Cricetulus griseus: one gene and its partners. The protein of the gene in region 2 interacts with the protein of the main gene of each other region in a pairwise test. Links are inferred from orthologs where the notes say so. Each region holds a gene or a part of one and is shown on either strand. Other genes may lie near its edges.

The links.
Region 1: the proteins of Pknox1 (region 2) and Pbx2 interact in binary tests that used the Homo sapiens proteins (3 or more experiments, as listed by UniProt). The link is inferred for Cricetulus griseus from reciprocal best matches to the Homo sapiens genes PKNOX1 and PBX2.
Region 3: the proteins of Pknox1 (region 2) and Pbx3 interact in a two-hybrid assay, tested with the Homo sapiens proteins (2 studies listed by BioGRID and IntAct). The link is inferred for Cricetulus griseus from reciprocal best matches to the Homo sapiens genes PKNOX1 and PBX3.

Annotation. Positions count from the first base shown.
Region 1 is NW_023276806.1:231,203,828-231,207,568, forward strand, and holds the start of Pbx2 (pre-B-cell leukemia transcription factor 2), read left to right. Parts: upstream 1-914; 5' UTR 915-1,224; coding exon 1,225-1,445; intron 1,446-2,232; coding exon 2,233-2,306; intron 2,307-2,531; coding exon 2,532-2,779; intron 2,780-2,869; coding exon 2,870-3,060; intron 3,061-3,217; coding exon 3,218-3,353; intron 3,354-3,472; coding exon 3,473-3,626; intron 3,627-3,741. UniProt on the Homo sapiens protein: Transcriptional activator that binds the sequence 5'-ATCAATCAA-3'. Activates transcription of PF4 in complex with MEIS1.
Region 2 is NW_023276806.1:259,896,966-259,900,706, forward strand, and holds the start of Pknox1 (homeobox protein PKNOX1), read left to right. Parts: upstream 1-929; 5' UTR 930-1,084; intron 1,085-2,036; exon of another isoform or gene 2,037-3,741. UniProt on the Homo sapiens protein: Activates transcription in the presence of PBX1A and HOXA1.
Region 3 is NC_048599.1:146,090,147-146,093,887, reverse strand, and holds the start of Pbx3 (pre-B-cell leukemia transcription factor 3), read left to right. Parts: upstream 1-1,339; 5' UTR 1,340-1,432; coding exon 1,433-1,632; intron 1,633-1,871; exon of another isoform or gene 1,872-2,012; intron 2,013-2,467; coding exon 2,468-2,541; intron 2,542-3,741. Other genes in the region: basic proline-rich protein-like, read left to right, coding at 456-658, 692-1,115. UniProt on the Homo sapiens protein: Transcriptional activator that binds the sequence 5'-ATCAATCAA-3'.

The DNA of each region.
Region 1 (3,741 bases), about 29 Mb from region 2:
GGGGTGCCAGAGACTGAAGACCCATTTTCCCAGGGAACTGGACAGGGGGCAAGTACCCTAACCTTGAAAACGAGCAAGGTAGGGTGGACACGACTCCCCAAGACCGTTCAAGAGTCTCTATCCTGAGCTGTCAAGCTACTCAACGGGGTGTGAGGACTGAGGCCTGCCCCTCCTGCCTAGCAAGAAAAAGGGGAAAGATTAAGACAACCGCCCAGCACTGGCACCCCAAGCCCCAAGGCCGAGGAGCCCAGAGGCCCTGAAGCGAACCTCAGCCCCACCCACACACCCTGCTGCTGCTGCTGCTGAGTCTGCCCGATGTGTTGGTTGTGTGAATAAACTTAATTCCCCTCTGCACTGAAGACTGGTATCTGGGGGTGGGTGGCTGGGTGTGCAAGGTGGGTCGGTGAGGCCTGGGGCAGCCGCTCTCCGCGAGCTGGCCGGAGGCCAAGTCCCCTCCCTGGCTGGTTAATTACTGGCTCATTAAGCAGCGGCTGGAGACCTCCCTAATCATCCCCCCAGCCCCCAGTCTCCCGGTTTTAATTAAGTCGAACAGGGAGGGGAGTCATTAGAACAAGAAATATGAACCGAGCCGTCGGAGAGCATTCCAGCGGCCGGAGTCCGCGCCACCCCGACGGTGGGCTCGGAACCCGGGTGGCCCACGCCGCCCCCGGCCCCGCCCCGCCCCGCCCGGCTCCGCCCCGCCTGGCTCGGCTCGCACGCTCGCACGCTCGCGCCGCCGCCCGCCCCGGGGCCAGCCTGGCCTCTCCCGCCCGGGCCGCCCGGCCGCTCCCCGCCTCCACCCGCCGCCGCCGCCGCCGCCGCCGGCCGCCCGCCGCCCGGCCTGCGTGTCCCCGCCCCCGGCTCCTCCCCGTTCCTCCCCTCCTCCCCTCCTCTTCCTCCCGCTCCCCTCCCCCAGCCGCCTCCCTCGCTCCCCCTGCTCCCTCCTCCCTCCTCTCGCACACACACCCCCGCTTGGGCCTCCTCTCTCTCTCTCTCTCCGGCTCCATTTTCTCCGCCGCCGGGGGCCGGGGTCTCCTGTGGGGGTGCCCAGGCGGCACCCCAGGCCTCCCCTCCAGCGCCGGGGTGAACCCCCGGAGGGAGCCGGGAGGCGGGTTGCCGGGCGGGGTTGGGGCGGAGGGAGCAGCGGCCCCGGCGAGTTTGGGGGGGAAGTCGCCGGCGGCGGGAGGGGCGAGCAGGGAGGGGGCCTCAGGGCCCCCCCCAGCGATGGACGAGCGGCTGCTGGGGCCGCCCCCTCCGGGCGGGGGCCGGGGGGGCCTGGGGCTGGTGGGTGGGGAGCCCGGGGGCCCTGGCGAGCCTCCCGGTGCCGGAGACCCCGGTGGGGGAGGTGGGGGGGTCCCGGGAGGCCGAGGGAAGCAAGACATCGGGGACATTCTGCAACAGATAATGACCATCACCGACCAGAGCCTGGACGAGGCCCAGGCCAAGTGAGTGCCCCCACCCCGGGACCCCGCTCACAGCGCTGGGTCCGCTGCAAGCCCCCTCCCCCAGGGCCCGCTCTCGACCCGGCAACTCTTTCTTTCCTTAGTTCTAGTGGTCTCTCCAAGCCGGCTTTGCTCCTAGGCCCTAAACCTCACACAGGGAACCCTAGCTGGCCTCACTCTCTCCTAACCTCTTGCTGACCCCTACACTCCACACCGGCCCCTCTCCTGGCTCCCAGACTCAGAAACTGTCAGCCCACCCGTCTGCGCTAACTATCCAGCTAGCCCACCGCCCCTTTCTCTGGGGATCCAGGGTCTCCACACACTCCCTTCCACCGCGGTTGGGGCCTCCAGAAGTCTTCACAGCCTTTCCCTCTGCCTGGCTCACACACTCTCCTGAACTCCCGGGTCGGGGGGCACCCCACACTGGGCCCCCGGCCACCCTGTACTGACTGTTCCATCTCGGCCTCTATTTCCCTGACTCCAAAACCTGCCCCGTCACCTTTATTTCTTCAGCCATCTCTCGATCCTCTCTCCACCTTTTTGCTTGAACCGTTTCCCTTGGCCTCAGCCCGCCCATAGTGACTTTAGCCCCATTGCCTGCATCTTCTGCCTCCCCTGGCCAGCCGCTTCCAGGAGCTAGGGCAGCTGGTCTCTCCTCAGGAACTACCCCTCCAGCCGCGTCCCACCCCCATCCAACTTCCCACCTCCACAGATTTTATGCCCCCACCTTGTCCCCTGGCAGCCTCTCCTCTCCTGGCCCCTGAACTCTTCTCCTCCCTTTCCTCCCAAGGAAACACGCCCTAAACTGTCACCGAATGAAGCCTGCTCTGTTCAGTGTCCTGTGTGAAATCAAGGAGAAAACCGGTACGTGGGCGCCCCTCTGGCTCTCACCTCTGGGGACTGCACTCTGCTCGCTGAGGGCTCAGAGTTTGACGCCGCCGTGAGGAAAGTGAGACCCGGGGAGGCTGCTCGGAAAGGAGAGGGGACGGAACCGAAGCCTGGAGGCCTGGGCCTTCGAGGGACTCTCGAAGCCCGGAACGCTGGGTGAGGGGATCTGGGGGCCTCACGTGTCCGCTTGCCTCCCGCTAGGCCTTAGCATCCGGAGCTCCCAGGAGGAGGAGCCCGTGGACCCGCAGCTGATGCGCTTGGACAACATGCTCCTGGCAGAAGGTGTGGCTGGACCAGAGAAGGGGGGCGGCTCTGCAGCCGCAGCCGCAGCGGCCGCCGCCTCCGGAGGTGGCGTGTCCCCTGACAACTCCATCGAACACTCGGACTACCGAAGCAAGCTCGCCCAGATCCGACACATCTACCACTCGGAGCTGGAGAAGTACGAGCAGGTGAGGAGAGGAGGCCCCCTGAGCCAGAGACGTGCACTCTGGAGGCCGCCCCAAGCCACAGGCCCCTCACCGGCCCACCCGCCCCTGCAGGCATGCAATGAGTTCACGACCCACGTCATGAACCTGCTGAGGGAGCAGAGCCGCACTCGCCCCGTGGCCCCCAAGGAGATGGAGCGCATGGTCAGCATCATACATCGCAAATTCAGTGCCATCCAGATGCAGCTGAAGCAGAGCACCTGCGAGGCCGTCATGATCCTGCGTTCTCGCTTCCTGGACGCCAGGTGGGGCTCAGGGACCCCTGAGCCCGGCCCCAGCACCCGGCTGCCTCCCATACCTCTCCAGGGCTGCGGGGCTCCCATGTTGCCCGACGGGGACACGCTATGACGACGGTGCTTCCCGGACTCCCGTGGCGCACTCATCTCTCCTCTCTCTTTGTAGACGGAAACGCCGCAACTTCAGCAAACAGGCCACCGAGGTCCTGAATGAGTACTTCTACTCCCACCTGAGTAACCCTTATCCCAGTGAGGAGGCCAAAGAGGAGCTCGCCAAGAAGTGTGGCATCACCGTCTCTCAGGTACTCTGCTGGGGGCGGGCGCGGGGCGGCGAGTAACGGGCTGAGAGTTCTCGGGTGTTCTTGGGGAGGGGGTCCTGGAGAAAGGGGTTCTGCCTGACCCTCTCTGCCCAACACTGCAGGTTTCCAACTGGTTTGGTAACAAACGAATTCGCTACAAGAAAAATATCGGGAAGTTCCAAGAGGAGGCAAATATCTATGCTGTGAAGACCGCTGTGTCAGTCGCCCAGGGGGGCCACAGCCGCACCAGCTCCCCAACGCCCCCTTCCTCTGCGGGTGAGCCCCCTGCCATTCCAGCTGGTTGATTTGATGCAGACAGCAAGGAGGACTTTTGGGGGTGATGAGGGCAAGGGAAGGGGCCCTTAGTGGGTGGTCAGGGGAGGTTCCGAGC
Region 2 (3,741 bases):
AAAGAGCGCAATGCTCTTGCTTCCCGGGATCTGTGGAGCCCTGAGGACACAGGGGCAAGTCCTCTGAGCTGTGAATGGGGGGGTCTACCCCATGGCTCTTCCAGCTGCCAGTCTTGGCGTACAAGGTTCCTTCTGAGGAGTGTGGGGTTAGCAGAACCGCTCTCTTTAAGCTGTGCGTGGATGCAAAGCAACGATCACACACACACACACACACCACACACACACACACACACACACACACACACACACACAGGTGGCCACTGCTTGATAAAATAAATGAACCTAGACAAGCCAGGCTAACCGAGGGCCTCCATCTGTCTTTCAGTGAAGCCACGAGCGGACCGGCGGCCAGTACGTAGCCACTGCCCAGACATCATGGTCAGTGGGTGGCGGAACAGCTCGGCAGACAGCACCCAAGGGCCAGATCCCAGGGCAGACACCTCAGGCGCTCAGTCCTCAAAGGGGCACCACCCGCGGATCCCCGCGCCTACCCGACTCCAGAATCTGGATTCTTAGGCGCCGCACAGGCTGGAGCTGGCCCCGGAATCGCGGGTCTTCAGATGGTACGGCCCGTACTCCCCGCCAGAGCCGCAGATAGACGGTTCCAACCGGCAGGGCAAACCTCTCCAGACGCGGAGGCGGGCGCAGAGGGGGGCGTGGCCGACGGCGACCTGAGCCCCGCCTCCGTTGCATAGTCATGAAGATGGTAAGCTCTGCCTCTGGGGCGGGGCGGGCCGCTACCCGCGGTGGGGCTGGGGCCGTTGGGTGGGGCCTGGCTGAAGGAGCGCGGCGGGGCGGGACCGGTCTCTGCCCCGCCCCACCCGCGCCCGCCCGCCCCTGCCTCGCCCCGCCCGCCGCGCCCCGCCCTCCGCCCGCCGCCGCGCTGGGCGGGGGCGGGGCCCGGGGCCTGCAGGCCCCGCCCCCGAGGTGCATATTGATGCGGCGCGCGTCGGCGTCGCCCTCCTCCCATTGAGCGAGGCTGTGTCGCGTGGCCCAGCGTCGGCGTGACGGTTGGACGCGGGCGCGGCACTGCGGGTCCCGATTGCTGCAGCCGCTTGTCAGTGTGATGAAGATTGGCACCCAGGTAAGCTGTCACTCAACCGCTCCGCCGCCGCCGCCGCGCCGCCGCCGCGCCGCGCGCCGCCCTCGCCGCCGCCGCCGTCCCTATCAATCACACCGGCCGAGGCCGCCGCTGCCGCCGCCGCCGCCGCCGCCTCCGCCGCCGCTCTTCCGCCCGGCCGGCGGGCGGCGGTGGTCGGGCGGGCGTGCCCGGGGCCGCACTTGACCCGCGCCCCCGGGCGGGGGCGGGGGAGGGAGCGCCGCTGGGGAGGGGGCGCCGCGGCGGGCCGCTGCGCGGGGCGCGCCCGGCTGGTTTTCCTGTGTGAGTGTGTGTGTGAGTGAGTGTGAGTGTGTTGTGGGGGGGGGATTTCAGGGGCGCGGAAATTTCTGGAAGGCGGCCGGGCGGGCCTCGGCGCTGGGCCTGCTCGAGGCGCGCGCCTAACCGTCGCTCACGGAGCGCGCGCGCGCGGCGCGGCGGGGCGCGGGGCCGGCGGGGGCGCGCGAGGCCGAGGCCGGGGGCGGCGAGGCAGGAAGATGGCGGCGGGGTCCGCGGCCCCTCCGGGGCGGCCCGAGCCCGCGTGGGGCTTCCCGCGGGAGTCCGCGGGCGGTGACAGCGCGTCGCGCGTGTCCGCGGCCCACCGGGAGTAGCGTCTTGGGGAGCGCTCGGCCCGCTGTCGCTGCCCCGCGTGTTGCTGCGAAGGGAAGCGGTGCCGAGGACTGAGGAGGACGGAGCCCGCCGGCCCCGGGGCTCCCTCCGGGCTCCTCCGGGCTCCTCCGGCCGCGGCCTGGCGGGCGCGGTGGGTCCCGCCACGCCACCCGGGAGCGCGGGCCGCGGGGCCCAAGTGTGAGCGCCCGCCTGGGATTCGGGAGAGCCGAGCTACCTAGGTGTCGGCCTCGCCCGCGGGAGCTTCTTGCAGAAGTGACTGTTTTTGTGTTTTTGTTTTGTTTTGTTTTTTTTTGTTTTGTTTTAGATGTGGGTGCTTTCCACTAAAGGATGGAAGAGCCCGCCCCTAAAGCAGGCCTCCTGTCATGGCATTAGAAAAATGAGCTCTCTCTCTAAAGGCTCTCGGAGGAAGGATTTGGCTGAGGCGGGGATGCGATGCTAGCTAGCTAGCTAGCACACTTGGGTTGCTCAGGTGGGGTCCAGGTGATGCAGGAGTCAGCAGGCCCCTCTCAGACCGGGGCCTGTGCGGCTGGAGCATCCCGCTGCAGTAAGATCCACCATTGTGTGAGGTGCCGCCAAAAGCCTGGCAAACTTTGTCACCAGGGGCACCAGCGGGAGTGCAGGCACCTTAAGAGAGGTCCGCGTGCTTCAGAATTGAGAAAGCATGGCTGGAAGGATGGCTCGTTCCCCGCAGTCTCTGATGCAGGCTGCCGCAGGTTTACGTTTTAGTTCCGTTTCTTTGGTCTTGTAGCCTAACTTTAGGAAAGTCCTTATTGTGAATTGTGGAAACAAAGTCACTATAGGAGTAGTAACATTCAGTTACAAGCTTGATTTTGATCGGTTATTGTTAAAGCTAGAACTGTCAAGAGGGGAAAAAAAAATTGCCAAAGTTCAAAGTGTGGATCCAGGAGCTGTAACTTTCCCAGGGTCAAACAGAGAACCAGCCGTGTTGAAATAGCTATCAAAAGTATCGCCCCAAAGTGGAGAGAGTCTCCTTTCAGCCCTGGATTAACTCACTGTGTAGCCAGGCTGAGCAGAGCCTCCAACTCCTTTGGGAATGAGGCGAGGTTTCTGTGACAACTCAGAGGCTTTGTGGACATATAACCACACTGGCCATTCTAGATCTCCTGATCATACTGTCTGCCTTCCTCCTCGAAGAGCTGGAGCATTCCTGGGAGCTACCGCAGATATTTTTGGTTTTGTTTTTGAAAGTTTCAGATACTTAGTTTAAAAGGTCCTCATTAGAAACCCATGTACATTCAACTATCTTTGTTAGGAATATGGATGGATGTCCGCCCTGCACCCCCCCCCCCACACACACACTGCTGTTTGGTGGTGGAGGTGACAAGTAATTCAAGTAATGGAATGGGGACTTGATGTCCTGATATAGTGGTGTGGCCTCATACTGGTTGAGGGTAAAAGTTTTTGGCGGATTCGCCGTGTTGAATCAGTGTGTCCTAAGTTCTGTTCGGATCTTGTATAAAGTGAAGTACGCTTCATATAGAAAACGTTGATGGTGGAGACCGATAGAATGAACACAGTCTGGGCCGGACGGTCATTTGGTGCAAAGCATCCTCAGGCCTGTCCACAAAGGCAAAGTGTTACATGACCAAGAGGATGCTAGGTACCTAGCCTGCTGCAGCCCCTTGTTCATTTTGTCAGCTTTTGTTTCTGGGAATTTTCTGCAAAAGGCATTCAGTGTGGTGGCTGGCCTGTGGTTGAAAAGTTCTGTTTCTGTGGTGGTCTGTGGTTCCTAGGACTGCCTTGGGAGCATGGGAAAAGGGTGGAGCAGCTTCTAATTCCAAGTATTTCCAGGGAGGTGTGGGGTTGAGGAAGAACAGCTGTAGTATATTCAGAATCTTGAAAACCACTAGGTAGAGCTCTTGCTGTACACAGCCCTGAAGTGGATTCGGAACATCCCTACCCCAGATGATTTTATTGTCTTGGGCCTTTCTCTGGAATTGATAGAATGTGTTCATCCTGATGTGTCAAGCCACAAACAGGCCCTTCTTCCCTCC
Region 3 (3,741 bases), on a different chromosome or scaffold from region 2:
TTTGAGGGACAGCGCAGGGTCCCAGACCTGGCTCCAACTCCTAGCACTGCCTTCTGGGTTACTATGGCGACCGCGGGAGGGGCGGGGCTTTGGGATCCTCTTTCCCGGTCTCAGCTCAGGACTTTCGAACGCTCCAATTGGGACAACCCTTTCTTGACTCTGTCCCGCCTCGTTCGGCGTTGAAAGCAAAACGATTGGTCCCGGGCTCGCGGCCTTGTGCCCAGAGGGTACCACCTCTTGACAGGAAGAGCGGGAAAGTGTACCAGGCACTGTCCGAGGCGTGAAGCTCACCTCACGCAATGGGTGACCACGCGGTTGGCTTTGGGGAGACTATCCCGGCCCCCATATACCACCTCCGGATCCCTAGCTGTTAATGATAGGAAAGGAGTAGAAGCCGGGAGGCCCCACTTTGCCGGTCGGGGCTGTCCATCTGCGGAGCGCGGGCGCGACGAGGCATGGGATTCCCGGGCGCGCTCTCTCGCGCCCCACTACCGAGGCCAGAGGGGACGGTCCCAGCCTCGGGGGCGGGGCCTGTGGCGGCGGCGGGAGGTGCAAGGACCAATGAGCGCAGACCCCGCCCCGGAGGCGGGGCATCCGGAGCGCTCCCCCGCCCTCTCGCTGGCCCCCGCCCCTCCCCCCGGCCCTGGCGCCGCAGTGAGTGAGTGGCACTGGCAGCCTGTCAATCCCTCAGCCGAGCGGCCTTCGAGCCCCGGTCCGCGGCGGCTGCTGGCTGGGTGCGCGCTCCCGGAGGTCGGCGGCGACTTCTCCCGCCTCATCCATCTGCTGTCCCCGGCGTGCGCCCGCCGGGCCCTCCATCGGGCTCCGCGCCCCCCGCCGCGTCGACGGCCGCCCCCAAACTTCCTCCTCCGCCCCTCGTCGCCCCGCGGCCCGCCCGTCGGCCTCCTCCCTCCTTCGTCGCCGCCGCGCCGCCGCCGCTCCCTCCCCGGGGCCGGCCGGTGCTCGATCCCGCCAGCTTGAGGCGGCGGCGGGCCGCTGAGGGGAGGGGACCGTCAGGCTGGCGCGGGCCGCGGCGGCGGCGGCCGCGGCGTCCCGACAACTCGGCTAGCGCTGAGGACCAAGTTCGCGGGGCCCGCCCGGCGCGGCGCGGGCGCTGAGGAGGCGGCGCGGCGGCCGCGTGAGGGCAGCGGGCACCGCCGCCCGCCTCCGCCTCGGCCAGTTGCCGCGCGAGCGCGCCGCTTTCCGCCCGCCGCTGTCCTCAGTCTCCGCCGCGGCGGAAGCCGGAGCCGGACGCCGGTCCGCGTCCCCCTCGGTCGCGGCCTCGCCGGGCCGGCCGCCCTCCCCCGCGGGCGGGAGCGCGCGGCCGCCTCCCCTCCCCCTCCCCCTCTTTCTTCTCCTCCCTCGCCACCGCCGCCGCCGCCGCCGCCGCCTCAGCCTTCGCCTCCGCCGCCCGCTCCCGCCCGCGCGCGGCGGGATGGATGATCAATCCAGGATGCTGCAGACTCTGGCCGGGGTGAACCTCGCCGGCCACTCGGTCCAGGGGGGCATGGCTCTGCCGCCTCCCCCTCACGGCCACGAAGGGGCGGACGGCGACGGCAGGAAGCAGGACATCGGCGACATCCTCCACCAGATCATGACCATCACCGACCAGAGCTTGGACGAGGCGCAAGCAAAGTTGGTGTCGTCTCATTAAGCATCTTTTGTGTGTGTACGGGAGCCGGGCTCGGGTCCCGGGTGGCTCCCTGGACCGGGGCCTCAGTGGCGGGCGGGAACTTTCTCCGCCTGCCAGGGCGGGCCTGCCGGGCACTCGCGGTGCCCCCATCGAGCGGGCAAAGTTGCTCTCCGGGCTCGGGACAGCCTCAGTCGGTGCTTCGTCCGTGCCCTGCTGCCCGGCCCCCTCCTCGGATTTAAACCTCCCGCCCGGACTCGTTGCGCTCTGCGTCCCAGCCAGCCCCGGGCCATGCCGCAGAGAAGTGCAACTTTCTCTGCCGGCCCAGACTCACGGCGTCCACTCCCCTCGGCCGGGCCCGGGGTGACCCGCGGCTTCCCCGCAGGTCCGGGTGCGGAGCGCCAAGTTCTCTCTAGGAGGGAGGGCAGCTTTGCAAACTTTGCGGAGCTGTCATCCGCAGATTATCTGGCGGCGGCCGGCCTCCGCGCCCGCTCCCCTGCGGAGCTCTGGCGTGGGGTTCCCCTCCGTGCCGCCCCGGTCCCCGGGGTCCCCGCCGCGATCCCTGGAGCGGAGCCCCCAGCACGGGTCGTCCCTGCGTTCGCCGAGGCTGATGTGTCGGCCCAGCATATGGGTCGCGCTGCTTTTGGGCTGGAGTTCTCACCGCTAGAGCTTGCCTCCAGTCGCGAACTAGTCAACTTGAGTTTTTGTTGACTTCCCGCGGTTCCAAAGAGCTTTTCCACCCCGGGGCCCAGTTTTAAATCTTTGGTCTAACTTAGGAAGTCGCCATATTATTCCAATAGGTGATGCTAACACCTTTGTGTTTTGCTATTTGTTTTTTAGGAAACATGCTCTGAACTGTCACAGAATGAAACCGGCGCTCTTCAGCGTCTTGTGTGAGATCAAAGAGAAAACAGGTAAGACTGCTGCCAGCAGTGGGCCTGGAGATCCCCCTTCCCCCCAGGTGGGGTTAGATCTACTCGTTGGACTCACCAGTTGAGAGCTGCTGCTTTTGGGCACCGCCATCTTTGATCATTCTCTGCTTCCCACCTCCTGATCTTGAGAAAAAAACTGCAATAAATCTGGAGTCTATTTCTCAATTCTGCTTTGATGCAAAATGAAGTATATGTGTGAAAGGGGCTGGTTCGCAGTTCTTTAGGCGGCAGCCCCTGACTGAAGTCAGGGAGGGGGCTCTAGTCAGCCGCCCTCTATTTCTTTTTGCCTTGTTTGTGTAGCAGTTTTTAAAGGGAGCAATGGGAGACTTCCAGGGACCAGGTGCCCGTGAGAGGCATCACCAGAACTTTGTTTTACTTAGACAGCCTTAAGCTTTGGTTCTAGTGGTAGAAGATACAGCAGAACAGACCTCAGTATTATGTCAGTTTTAGGTGGGGAAGATTACTTTTAAGAATTCAGGAAGGAAAATGATGTGCTTAGGCGTATACAATGTATCATACTAATGAGTACTTATATAAAATTGTCTATCTTGCAACTGTTAACAGTTGTAACTGAGTTTCAATATATAAAGAAAAATGTCCACAGATACAGATGAAACAATTTTGATGTTCAAGGCAGGAGTAGATGAGATGATAGGTTTTGCAGACATGCTAGCATGAAAATTGCAGATACATGATTAGGGAAATTTTTGGCAGTTCATTTTGGTTTAATTTTCTTGTCAGATTTTTTCTATTAAAGGTATTTTTACTTTTGACTTAATGGTAAAGCTAAAGTAGAAGTAGGGATATAATTCACATGTGTTAGTTTGTGTTTAGTTATCTTTCCTATATGGCAAGAAACTCCCTTAATTAAGCTTTACCATTAATTTATTTATTGTTGTATGTGTTGGGTGTATCACTTTTTAAAGTTGTTCTTTTGTAAGTTAAGGGAAAGAAGAAAATGTCAAGTCCAGTATATCGCATTTTCCAACTGATGTTGTTTTAATAGTTAAATGTTTGACTTTTTAAATTGAGTTTACAAATAATTGCAAACTGTCTAGAATTGTTAGGCTGGTAGTTGAGTTATACTCTGTTTAAATAGGTACTATTCATATTCCTAAAAGTAATGCAGAGAAGATAATTATTAGTAAATCTTGAAAACTTTATTTGCTTTTCATTCATGCC